Linked DNA regions of Drosophila melanogaster. The protein of the gene in region 1 purifies or fractionates together with the protein of each later gene. This does not show direct contact. Each region holds a gene or a part of one and is shown on either strand. Other genes may lie near its edges.

The links.
Region 2: the proteins of obst-A (region 1) and knk purify together in Drosophila melanogaster (affinity purification with western blotting, with the first as the bait; one study listed by BioGRID). This does not show direct contact.

Annotation. Positions count from the first base shown.
Region 1 is NC_004354.4:20,237,561-20,244,300, reverse strand, and holds obst-A (obstructor-A), read right to left. Parts: upstream 4,447-6,740; 5' UTR 4,324-4,446; coding exon 4,275-4,323; intron 3,240-4,274; coding exon 3,036-3,239; intron 2,691-3,035; coding exon 2,487-2,690; intron 2,417-2,486; coding exon 2,160-2,416; 3' UTR 1,092-2,159; downstream 1-1,091.
Region 2 is NT_033777.3:10,121,297-10,127,467, reverse strand, and holds knk (knickkopf), read left to right. Parts: upstream 1-1,803; 5' UTR 1,804-2,248; coding exon 2,249-2,339; intron 2,340-2,703; coding exon 2,704-2,926; intron 2,927-3,000; coding exon 3,001-3,348; intron 3,349-3,389; exon of another isoform or gene 3,390-3,420; coding exon 3,421-3,974; exon of another isoform or gene 3,975-4,036; coding exon 4,037-4,262; exon of another isoform or gene 4,263-4,279; intron 4,280-4,316; coding exon 4,317-4,944; 3' UTR 4,945-5,103; downstream 5,104-6,171. Other genes in the region: ATPsynepsilonL (ATP synthase, epsilon subunit-like), read right to left, coding at 5,248-5,442; gammaSnap2 (gamma soluble NSF attachment protein 2), read left to right, coding at 6,094-6,171.

The sequences.
Region 1 (6,740 bases):
TTGTTGCTGGCTGGTGTTTAATGCAAAACGGGATTTGGGATTGCCAGTGCTGCCAATCCATCCAGATTCCAGCCACATCTTACGCTCTTAATTGCACATAACAGCCGCAATTTGGGAATATATGTTTGATACCAAACCATATACCAAATGTTATATCGCTCGAATCCATTTTCTCGCCACATCTTCCCAACTTGAGAGCCTATAACAGACGGAATTTATGGGATTTATTTTCGATCTGAGGACTTACAGTTCGGTGGTATTCGGAATACAAAGTTTCATATCAATCGCATCCCATTGCAGAAATCTCTAGTGCTTCTACATCTCTTATAATGTTGTATGCAATGAAGAATAAACTTCTATAGTACAGCGAAATGAAGAATAAACTTCTATAGTACAGCGAAATGTACTTTAGCTTCTACTGATTCCCAGTTGCAAGATTGTCGAGCTATGGCGAATTCAGCTGAAATTTAGGTTATCCACAAACAGTGGAAACACTGCATAAAATCAGATAAAACTTAGAACGCTATCTAAAAGGATGCATCCAGCATCCACGCTGTGCACAAGGTCGCTTTCGCTCCACACTGCCAATGATTTAGCTAGTTTCCTAGCTAGTTCGGGTCCATTTCCTGGCTTGAAAAAGAAAAACACGCCAAGGCGGAAATCGAGCTTCTCTGGCAACATGTGTGATTGAAAGTAAAAGGCAAAGCTCGCGCAGACCATAAGCTTCATTCATGATTGGGCCCCGTTTGCCGATTGCCGTTACATTGTTAACTATTGCAAAACTTTTGCTTTTGCTTTGCTTTGCTCGTGCTGCGGCGATTGCATAAGCACTCTTGCCTGCTTTTTGTGTTCATTTACATGTGTAAATGTGCGGTCCGCTTGGCCACTCGGCCAATTAAAGACTCTTTGCAACCGATGGAGGGACAAAGGGCTATGATGGATAATGGATGCACCGATCCCGCCCGTCCACGGCGATTATCCGATATTGCGTGTGGAGTGAAAGGTTTGATTGATTGGTCAATCGACCACTCAACCCCCCCCCCCCCCCCTCCCTTTTTTTGCTATTTCCCCACGAGATGCACACTAGTTTTGTATAGATTCGAAATACATAGTTTTTTTTAATTCGAGAAAGATCGGAGAATGGGAAGTGAGTTTGGGTGTCATGGGTTTACAGTCGGTTGAATGATTACTTAAATAAGGTACGTGAAAATTTCTTATCGTTTGGATTTTGCAGGCAAGTCAAGATGTTTATTAATAAATAACATATAGCATAGTCTAAAAGAGTATTTATACAGTAGGTATAATCGAAATACAAGGAAATATTTATGAGGAAGATAGAATGTATAGAAAAGATTTAGATTTGAAACTTGAGGTAGAAGTGAAATACAAGATTACAGGATTGAAATGCTTAAAAAAGGAGCATTTTAGGAATAATAAACTGTAGCGTAACAGTTCGCAAAACAATAAAACACGAACTAAATTGAAATTTTAAAGATAGAAAGAAAGAAATCAAGAAAAGAGAACGGAAAAGATTCAAGTTTGAAAATTTTAGGAGGACAAAAGTTTGTAAAGAGTGGGTTTCCTTATAGACAGAAAATTGGTTTTGGAATATGATAAGAAGTTAAGTAGAGTAACGTAGAGATGAGGGAAATTGAAATTTTAGGCGAAGATCACATAGGATAGCTGAAACAGTATATGGAATAGTAGTAGTCTTGGGATTGGGAAGATAGTTTATAGTAGATAGATAGATATAGATAGTTTATAAAAAATTCAGTTTATTCTTTTTGTATAATAATAAGGCGAAAGTCTGAAAGCGGGAAATATATACACAACAATTTGGCAGCGTTTGGTTGGGCACAGAAATGGAGATTTGGGTAGTTAGAAAAGTAGTTAGAAGTAGTCAGATATAGAGAAAGATAGTTAAGAAATAGATAGGTCAGAGTATTGAAGTTTAACTGCTACACATACGCTCTATAGGAAATGGGCTAGAACTACTAAATTTAAGTGACTAAGACGCGAATCTGTGTGTTGATTTGTTTCGAATTGTTTCGATTTGATTTGATTGATAATTTCTTTCAGTGTGCTTGTGTGTGCGTGTGCATGTGCATGAGTTGTGAGTGTGGATGTGATGAGGAGAAGTAGAAGCGACCGGAAGTGGCTTAGTCCTTCTTGTCGTCCACATCCTTGTACCAGTCCTCGCAGCCGGGCACATTCTCGGGAGCATCGCACATCTCGGTGGCATCGTTGTAGACCTCGCCCAGCTGGCAGCCCAGATCCCTGGGATCCTCGCCGTTCAGGCACACGTAGAACTTCTGGCAGTCGGTGGGATGCGGATACTTGGGGTGGGTCACCACCTGGCCGCGATCGTCGGTCTTTGGCTGATCCTTGGGGCACACGAAGCCGGTCTCGGAGGTTCCTGAAAGTACACACCACATGCCAGACCATTAGCCCACTCCGCCGCACGGCGACTCAATCGGTCCACTTACTCTGCTCCGGATTGCAGCCCTCGCGCTTAGCGGTATCCGGCCACACGCAGGTGCCCGAGTACTCGTCGAAGTGGAGGCCGACGGTGCACTTGGTCTCCAGGGCGTCGCCTTCGATGCAGTTGTAGAAGATGTTGCACACGGCGGGATCGGGATGCGCGAAGAAGCCGTTCTTGCGCGGGCAGTACTTGCTGGACTTCGGCTCCTCTGTGAAGGGGAAACCGAACAGGGTTAGTTCCTCCGTCTACCAAAGGAGCTACACAACTACATAACTTTTGGATAGCTCATTGTAGTGGTGTATTTGCTTTAAATATAGAGATGTCCAAAAGTATGCTACAAATTCATCCTTTCAACTGATGCTTTCATTAGTAAGCTAAATTTGAACTTAAGAGGCGAATTTAAATTTAACTCCCTACATAGTTAATGGTGATGTAATGATGTAATTGGAATAACCTGTTTAGCGCTCTGCCTTGACATAGTTTTCGTGACCATTCCCAAGGGGTCGGTAACAATAGCCTAGAAATAGAAATGGTGATGGGATGGGCTACTTACGGAGCTCAGTGCGGTCCTCGCAGTCCACATTGAAGGGCTGGTCGCACTTGTTGAACTTGCGGTTGAGTGGATCGAAGACCAGGCCATCGGGACAGAGCTTCGCCTTGGCCACTCCGTCGTCGCAGACGTAGAACTTGTCGCACTGCACCTCATCGGCGAACTGGCCATTGGGCTTCGGGCACTCGAAGTTGGCGGCGGACACGGCTGGTGTTGGGGTAAAACAAAGGAAAGAAACAAGCACTTCAGTCAACTGGTTTTCCCACTTTCACTTTCCTGGCGACCCCCAGTCGCACTCGAAAGTGTAACAGATCGAACGACGTTCGATTACCGATGGCAATTCCGCATTTGCGGTTTCCTGGTTGCCACCACTCCCGGTGGCCCAAGAAATGATCAGTGGTTTTCCATTGGAACAGGTTGCTATCGCTTGATACATTTGACCAGAATCCCACTGACTTCGGTAAGCTAGATATAGGTTAGTACTATTTACTCAACCAATGTGAAATCTCTTACTTGGGCGCCTAAAGGATAGCTATAAAAAATGTATACAATGCGAAAATCACTGCATACTTCTATACACCTTTGCATTCGCTATGCTGACAATATCTTCTACAACCGAAATTGGGAATTCAAACTACGCGAATTCTTTGGATTTCCGTAACACACCGGTAAGTGATTCGAAATGTCGAAATTTAAATGTCAGAGAAGGCTTCATACTCAGCATAATGCCAAGATTACGACGTTCGGTCCGGGTTCAATGCACTTCTCTTGCGGCCCAGAAGAGCCGTTTTCCACTTGGCCAACAAACTGCATGAGTTGCATAACCCCAGCGGCCCAGACAGCCAGACAGCATCTTGGGCTTGGCCAGCATTCCAGTTTTTCCAGACGGAAAACGGCCCTCCATCTCGATCTGCATGTGGCCTGTAGATCCGCAATCGCGACCAGATTCAACATTTGCGTCTGAGGCCCAGTCTTGCGAGACGGCTAAATATGATTAGCTACTTATGGCTCTTAGCTCTTAGCTACTTAGCTACTTAGCTGGCCAAAACACACAGCGGCAGCAGATCGAGATCGAGTCTTGATTTCGGTGTCAGTGTCAAAGTAATTAGCAACAATTTGCGACTCTGACTTGGCGGATGGGCTGGCACTGGCCAGTCAGTCGTCAGTCACTTGAACTGGGCACCACTGATCCATTGAACGATCCATTGATCCATTCCCACGGATCCATTGATTCACACTCACTTGTCGCCACACACAGGGTCACAGCAATGGCACATAAAAATAACTTCATTTTGGACTCGGGGTCTGAGAAAAAAAAAGCAGAGCAACGATCCTGGCAACTGGATACTTGAGCAACTAATCGCGACTCAAGCGCTGCGATGGTTAAACTAAACTAACAACGGAACGCCAAAGAGGCGCACTTTTCAAGACTTTTTACCGGCTCTGCTCGACGTCGCCGACGACGCGACGACGCCGTCGGCTGCGGCAGAGTGATGCCAATGGGCGGGGCCACTACCGCCCCCGCCACTGCCACTGCCACTACCATCACCACCACCACCACCACCACTACTACTACTACTACCACACGAAACCGAGCCAGGCCAAACGAGCTGCGGCTGGAGCTGGACTGGATATGGGAATGGAATGGAGCCGGGGCTCCAAAGGCGACGAAGAAAGGCGAGCCAGAGATGTAATGGCACAAAAACAAGAAAGTCCAGGGGCGAGGACCGGAAAACCGCTGGCCAGATGCCCTAGCTTAATGTGCACCACGCGAATTCTTCAGGCCGCGCATTGATCAACTGTGTTGAAGGCGTCACCTGTATCAGATGACTTGGAGATTACATCGAAATCTTGGAAGAATTAGGAAATGCTTCTATGTATTTGTAAGCGAACTCTTAAGAATACTCAAAGGCTATTAAAAAAAAAGAAAAACAATGTTATTTATCGTATAATTACAGTTTTAATGCCGCAAATTCTTTAGTGATCTTGATCTGCAGAGCCATCTAGCGGTCATTTATGCAGGTAGAGAAGATGTTAAATTGATTTCCATTAGCGTTTCAATTCAATTGTTTCGCTTAAAAATAAAATTATATGCTAAAAATGGGTGGTTCTTAGGCATATAGAGTAATAAATAGTTGACCCTGTGCAAAAATACAAAATTCCAGCTTGTAAGCCATCTGGTCAGCTGCACATTTCCGGGTATTGACCGTCAAATAACCAAATGCGATCGAGCGACCGATGGATGCGGTTCGAGTAGGGTATGCGTTCCCTGCGATCAGTGTGTCGATGTGACCAAAAAAGCAACACACACACACACACGAAAATGAACGTAAATAAATTCATATGCGTCAACGATCCCCGAATTCAGTTGGCTCGAATTGAGTTGGCCGGGTTGATGGTCCGCATGCAAATGGCTTACATCGATCGACCAAAAGGCCAGCCAAACAGGTACCATCCATTTGGCGACGAGTTGGAGTTGGAAGACCGTCCTTTCGTCCAAAGTGCCAGCCAAAAATTGAGACTTCAAGGCTGAAGAGGACACGCCATGGGCGTAGTTTCGGTCTGGATCTGTATCTTTAAATTATACTATATATACATTGCATATATGCAGACGGACGGATGAAAGACTTGGTAATGAGTAACACACCCAATTAGTTGGAAGGTAATGTCTTAAACGCCACTCCCGCAAATCAAAAATTTAGCATTATTACTTTTGGTAAAATAAGGTAAGATAATATACATTATATATGTATAATTGAAATAAGAGCACATTTTTATAAACTATCATTTAGAAATATTAAAATATGATGAAATTAACAAGAGCAAGTACTAATGTAATAAATGTATCTTACAAATTGAATGTTGTATATCTATTAGAAACATGGTGATCCATAGGAATCCAATGAAATGCCTGATACAATATAGAATTTCTAGTTTTGCCTGCTTGGGAACTGGTCTACAGGTGATTGGTGGGGGAGGGGAGGGGGGGGGGTTGGTTTGGTGTAGCCATTTCCGAGGAGCTACGCCCATGGGATGGAAAACTGTGTCATCCCGATGCTTCCAGCGGCCAAGCGGCGGAGCATGCCGGTAATATATGTACATAATATATGCATAAATATGCTAAGCGGCCACGCAATGACCCAAAAGCCGCTGTCCTTGGGAGATGCGATCGATCCGCTCCGATCGGAGTAGGAAAGAAATAAAAAATAATGAAAATATAATCAGCTATCGGAGATCGGAGATGCGGCCAAACCAGACGGGCTGGGAAACTAGTTTAGGTTGGCGGCGTGTAGTGGCTAATTAACAATACACTTTTACTCTCGCCCGATCCCATGTGGAAACCAGGTGGAGGTGGTTCTTGGAAGCCCGGCCAGACGTCTAAATCTGAAATTCAATTGGCAAATTAATTTGTAAACTAATCGCGCTGGCATCTCGACTTCGGTGCGACAGGTTTGGCCTGGCAATTAGCGCGGGGAAAAAGCGAAGATATTAAGTATCCGCTCATCGGTTTGCCAACTCCCGCCCATGTGCAAGATTTGTCGGCCTGGAGCAAAAAGTTGAGCAGTCGAAGATTTGGCAATTCAAGGTTTTTACTGCAGCATGGGGGATCATCGGAGCGATTCCAGTTCGAGTCCGGTTTATCAATGCGGTTACGAAACGAGCAACTCGGACTACAGTTTTTGGGTCGTCGAATGCTGGCATTTAAAT
Region 2 (6,171 bases), on another chromosome or scaffold:
ATAGGCCGCGGAGCTTGTCGATCGACTATGTGTCTCATTTTTAATCTCATCAGCAACGTCAGCAATCGAACAGCCGGAAGTTGTCTCAGTCAAACCAATTTAAAATGCTCATTTAAACACTTAATAAATTCACTAAGAACCCAATGCTAGCTAGACCAGAAAGCAGAAGTCAAAGAGATGAGGCAAACGCGGAAGAAGTATAAAATAGATGCATTAATAACGTATGCATCGCAGTTAATTGATACCTACATATACATATAAAAAAAACGCAGCCTAAGTTTAAAATACAAATTAGTGTTCTCAATTCGTTTTATTGAAAGTCTATCTGAAATGAGAGAAACAAGAAAAAAAAACAATAATAAGAAAATACTATTTTTATACGCTACATTTAAGCTAAGTATTGCTACTTTTAGTTCAACTATGCGTGCGTGCGTCCAAGACCAATTCTCACATATAGTCTATTTGCCCCTTGGCCCCGCCCCCTTTTTCATCGGTCAACAACTTTTCCAGCGTGTTTACTGTTTTGTAAAGTTTCTTGTATTCATTGTCATGTTTTCCATAAAGAACTATAAACAAAACAACCATTTTTATAGGTTATCTAGTGTCTAGTGTTAACAAATAAAAAACAAAACAAACAAATTATAAAAACGCAAACCATAAATGATAAATGAGAGTAAATTATAAACCATGCGCTGAAAATGTTAAACAACAAAATTCTGAAAAATGTACGGCAAAAAATGTTCAAAACACTGAAATGTAAACGCATAAAATGATGAAATAAAAACTAAAACAACATAAATTGTGCTTCTTATGAGAATAATGATATATTATTAATATTGTATTTTCAATAAAATAGTAATACGAGTACGAAGAGTGCAGCGGGATAGAAGATAGCAGAGCCTAAATTGTTTAGAAAATAAGAAAATCCGTGAAAATTGGTCTAGATCCTCAGTGAATCGTATACAAATTGTCCACAACTTCGATACAAATATTTTGGTTGCAAATTTCATGTTTTAGATCGACGACCCACTTATTCAATTTTATTTGCAACGCACATCCTTATTCATATATCTTTGACATGCCTTTTTGTAAATAAAATCGCAAACACAAAAAAGAGAAAACTTAAAACGAAAACATTATTCATTAAATGAAATAAAATCCAAAGCAGTCGAGTAGAGAAACTGTTGCAATTGCTGTTTGAATAGAAACGCAAACAGACGACAAATTGCAATTGATTAGTTTTAAAAACATTGAATTGCTATTCAAAATAAAGATCTAATAAAGGCAAACTTAAGGATAAAGTTTAGTTTTGCAAGCAAGAAAATTGTGAAAAATAATGAAAGTGTGTTTTATTTCGCCCCAGGCAGTTTCAGATGGCTACATTTACCCTGATAAGAACTCGGATCAAGAAAAGTTATATAAAAATATAATACTATTCATGGGGTCAGCAACATTAATATCGCAATATATATTATATGCGGCTTAATTTGTTCTACTTGATAGCGCCACAATGAATAGATAATCATAGATCTTTTCCGAAGAATTCTTTAAAAATCATTTACAGTGCACACGTAGGTAGTATAATGTATTTGTGGTATTATTTTGGAATCTCTCAAGCACACCTCGCGTATTCCGTGTGCAGCAAGTTACCGTTACGGCCACTCTTGGCCATTTCAATGCCAATCACGCATGCACACAGCTCAAGAGAGAAAGATTCGGAGAGCAGTGCTCACTTAACATTGCCAAGACCAAGACGTCGGAACTCCGAAAGAAACCCAAAACGAAATAACGGCGGCTTAAAGTCTCAGTTCACTCAGATCGCTTGGACAGTGCGGTTCGTTTTTGATTTCGGCCTTAAGCGCGAGCTTTGGAAAAAGTAAAAATATATATATAAAAACGCCGGAACTGCTGCCTAAACCTGTTTTGGCCAAGTGAACAAAACAACAACAATAGCAGCGAAAACGCATGCAAGTGACGAAACGACCTTAAGCAAAAGCAAGAAAAATTATAAATAATTTACTTGGCTCTCAATTAATATTAAACAGACGTATCTATGTATTGTTTGGAAATCTGACCATCTTCAGTGACGAAGCGAACCCGCGAAAAAACCCAAAATGCAAAATGCTGCAGCGTGAATAAGAATTCATAAGCATAAAATCGATTCAAAAATTAAAAAAAAAAATTAAAACGTGGCTTAGGAAGTGGGAGTGAAATAAACCAGACCGGGATAACAAAGGAGGGAATTAAGATGGCATTGAGCAGCAGAGTTCTTTGTCTGCGATTGCAGCACCATTTATTACTGGTTATTTTAACGATTTTCCTGCTTTGCCCCGCCGCCTGTGAGTTAACTAGACTACATTGCACACTTAACAATAACAAAGAAAACCGAGGCAAACTGCAAAGGAAAGAGAAATTTTTACTGGCGTTACGCTCCAGACGGGGCAAAAAACAAATTCACTTTCGTGTAAAACTAGAGAAACTGGTCTAGTCTTGGATTGGTCGCTCAGAGCTCCCGCCAGGGGGCGCCACCTGGCCCAGTGGCAGTAAATCAGAAGCCAAATTGTTGGCTTATTAGTCAGAGCGAAAATCCAAAAAAAAAAAAACAAGTTTGTTGTCATAGTCTTTCGTTTGCGATTTGTTTTCAATGTTTTTTTTTTTGCCGGCTTCAAATTTTCTTAGCTTAACTTTAACTTATCTAAATAGCGGCCCAGAACGAAGAAGAAGATGGTCCGTACCGGGGAAAATATCTGGGGAAACTGAACTCCTACCATCATCAAGTGTCCGGCGATGTGTACGCTGTGAATGAGTACACCTTTCTGATTGTGGGCTTTAACTACGATGGCAACGGGGCGGATACGTTTTTCTGGTCGGGCGCTAGTAATCGGCCGGGACCGCAGGGATTCATTGTGCCCGATGAGTATGGCAAGTAAGTGTCAAAATATATATTATTCCTATGGAGAATAAATTGAAATGAATATATGATGGAAATGCCAACCGTAGAACCAACATTCTGGATCGCTATCACAACAAGGATTTCACGCTGACGCTGCCGGATCGAAAGAAGATAACTGAGATTAAATGGCTGGCGGTTTACGATCTGAGCAGTCAAAACAACTTTGGCGACGTTTATATACCCGAGGAGTTCGATCCACCGATGAGCCAATTGGGCGGAACCTTCTCCAAGCGCAGTCACAATGTGAGCAGCAGCAGTGTTGAGATCTTGGACTCAAAGACCATTCGCATCAAGGACTTTACCTACGATGGGCGTGGCAAGAGGACATTTTTCTGGACAGGAGTCGGGCCACAGCCATCGAGTCGAGGAAGCAAGCTGCCAGATGAGCGAGGATAGTAAGTTTCTCTAGGGATTTAAAAAAAATTTAATCACAAACCCATTTAAACAATTCATCATAAATCATTTAGCCTTGATCCTATAAGACAGTACAACAAGGAGACCATAGAACTGGAACTGCCAGGAGATAAGACTATCTTTGACATCGATTGGATCAGTGTATACGATGTGGCTGACAACGAGAACTATGGTCATGTTCTGTTCAACGATAAACTTAATGTTCCACCTTCCCTAGTGAAAGTTACACCATTCGAATTCTCGCTGCCCAATTGCCGGCAACTACACAAGGATATGCAGGTGTCCTGGGAGGTTTTCGGGCCGCAGATCACGTTTCAACTATCCGGTCAGGTGGGCGGCAACGATTATATGTCTTTCGGCATATCCGGATCTGATGTATCCAGCCAGATGATTGGCTCCGATGTCGTGGTGGCCTATATAGACGACATCAGAGGCTACACCGTGGACTACAATATCACTTCGTTAGCGCCGTGCGTTCAGGTTTTGGGTCAAAACAAAGGAGTTTGCCGTGACGATGTGGTTGGTGGATTGGACAGCTTCCAGTTGAATACGTATAGTCGCAAGGATGGCATTAATACGATCAGTTTTAGGCGGACGCTCAAGTCATGTGAGTTGGTTATCATAAGTGGTATGCCTTTTGCTTACTGATGCAGCTCTTTCACATTTTAGCCGATGATGGCGATAAGGAGATCTTCCTAGACCGCAGCAACTACGTGATCTGGGCATTTGGCCCATTGGACTCCAACAACGAGCCCGCCTTTCACACTTACTATCCCAAGAGCGATATAGTGATAGATTTTAACACCACAGAACCGGTTAATGATTGCTTTGCATTTACAAAACGAGCGGAGACGACTAATCCTCCAGTGTGGGAGCGAACCAGGATAACAGATGCGTAAGACTCCAATCTTCCTGCAATGAAAATTTAATATAGTTCCTTGTTTTGCAGAACGGTACGCACATTCAACGCCTACTTGGGACCCTCTGGAGGACTTCGTGGCTATCAGGGATTGACGAATCATGTGTCCAGTGGCTTGGCCTGGTACATCAACGGCTACATGATTCCAGAGCTTTACCTAAAGCGTGGTCTGACCTACACCTTTAAGGTTAGGGGTGGCAATAATCCTCACTCGCCGGAGCACTATCATCCGTTGGTTATCACCGATGATCCCCAGGGTGGGTATGACCGACTGTCTGATGCAAAGCAGAGTGAGATTCGTGTATTAGCCGGTGTTGAATTCACCCGGAGAGGCAGGCCCAAGCCCACGGCTGCTGGTCCCCTGTGCCTGTCCAGATATCCTCAAAATAGTGATCGTCGACTGGATGATAACTTCCCCACTTTCAAGAAGTTCAATCGATCCCTCATCACCGAGTGTGTAGAAGGGGAACCGGCTCTATTGGAAATTACACCGAATATCACATGGCCGGATACTGTGTACTACAACTCCTTTACCCATGGCAATATGGGCTGGAAGATTCACATCGTGGACAGTTATACCAACTTGAAGAGTGGATCGATGGGCTTATCCTGGTCCTTGTGCATCATCCTGCTACCGTGGCTCGTGCTCCAGAACTGACTGTTTTCTCATTCTTAGATTCTCCTATTTAGTGTCTTAGTCTAAATTAAGCAGTCACAATCTATGTATTTGATACGCGTGTGTAGAATGTATGCTAAATGTTGTGTATATTATTATTTATATGATATTTAAATACAGAACTGTGTTGTACTTTAGAAGAATGAGCTATGAAGTTTTGACCCAACAAAAAATCTAATATACATCATTTTTTCAGTGAATTAGATTTATTTGAAATGTTATTGTAGAATCATGGCAGCTGTTATTCTGGATGAAACATGGTGTACAAATCACCGAAATGGGCGCCTAAGATTCGGATTCACGTTCTACCTTCTTGCGCGGCACAGGCTTTCCGTTCACCCACGGAGTGAACTTCACATGGCTGATGTTTCGCTTGGCGGCGTCTGCACGGAGCTCAATGCGCAGGGCCTCTCGCACCACACGGGCTGCGATGTTGGAATACTGGATATAGGTAATACCCAGATCTCTCCAGGCTTTCATCTTGCAGTAATATGGGATTAACTATAAAGATGTTAGGATAATAAGTCAAAAAAAGCTATCTGCATATAAAGGATCTTACCTTCTTCCGTTAAGAATTCGATATAAAACCGAGCGACGGGTTTCTTTTCAAGATTTCGCACACGATTGGTAAAGCCTATGTTAATATTTAATTGCATTAAGTTACAATATCAAAGTAAGTTAAATCAAAGCGCCTTGCTACCTCCTCACTTTAAGATCTTTTAAGGCAAAGCACGTGTCTTTTTATCGATGTTTTTTTTTTATCCAGACAGGGCTACAAACTTAATCGAACTAGGAGTTCTATGGATGCGATAAAAGTTCGATTTGAAACCAAATCGATACAATTTTTTAAATATATTCAAAATCCAGCTTACATGAAATGTAAATATAGCTTACTTTTCACCCCCCAAGCTCGCATATTATATGGTATGCATTTATTTAATTAAATACAAATATATATTTTATGCAACTTTAGTAAAGCACTTAATATTACCATAATACCAGTGTCATACCCGCATAGAAAAGGAGCGGCCTTTTGTGTTTTTCTCGGCACTTGCGCACTTGGGCACACTTATTTGAATATAAGTCACTTGAATTGATTTTTTCAACACGCAAAGGTTGTAACTTAGCACTATGAGCACTCTTGATGCCAAAAAGATAGAAGAGGCGGAGGCCTTGATAGGACAGACGGATAGTGCCGCGAATGAGTAT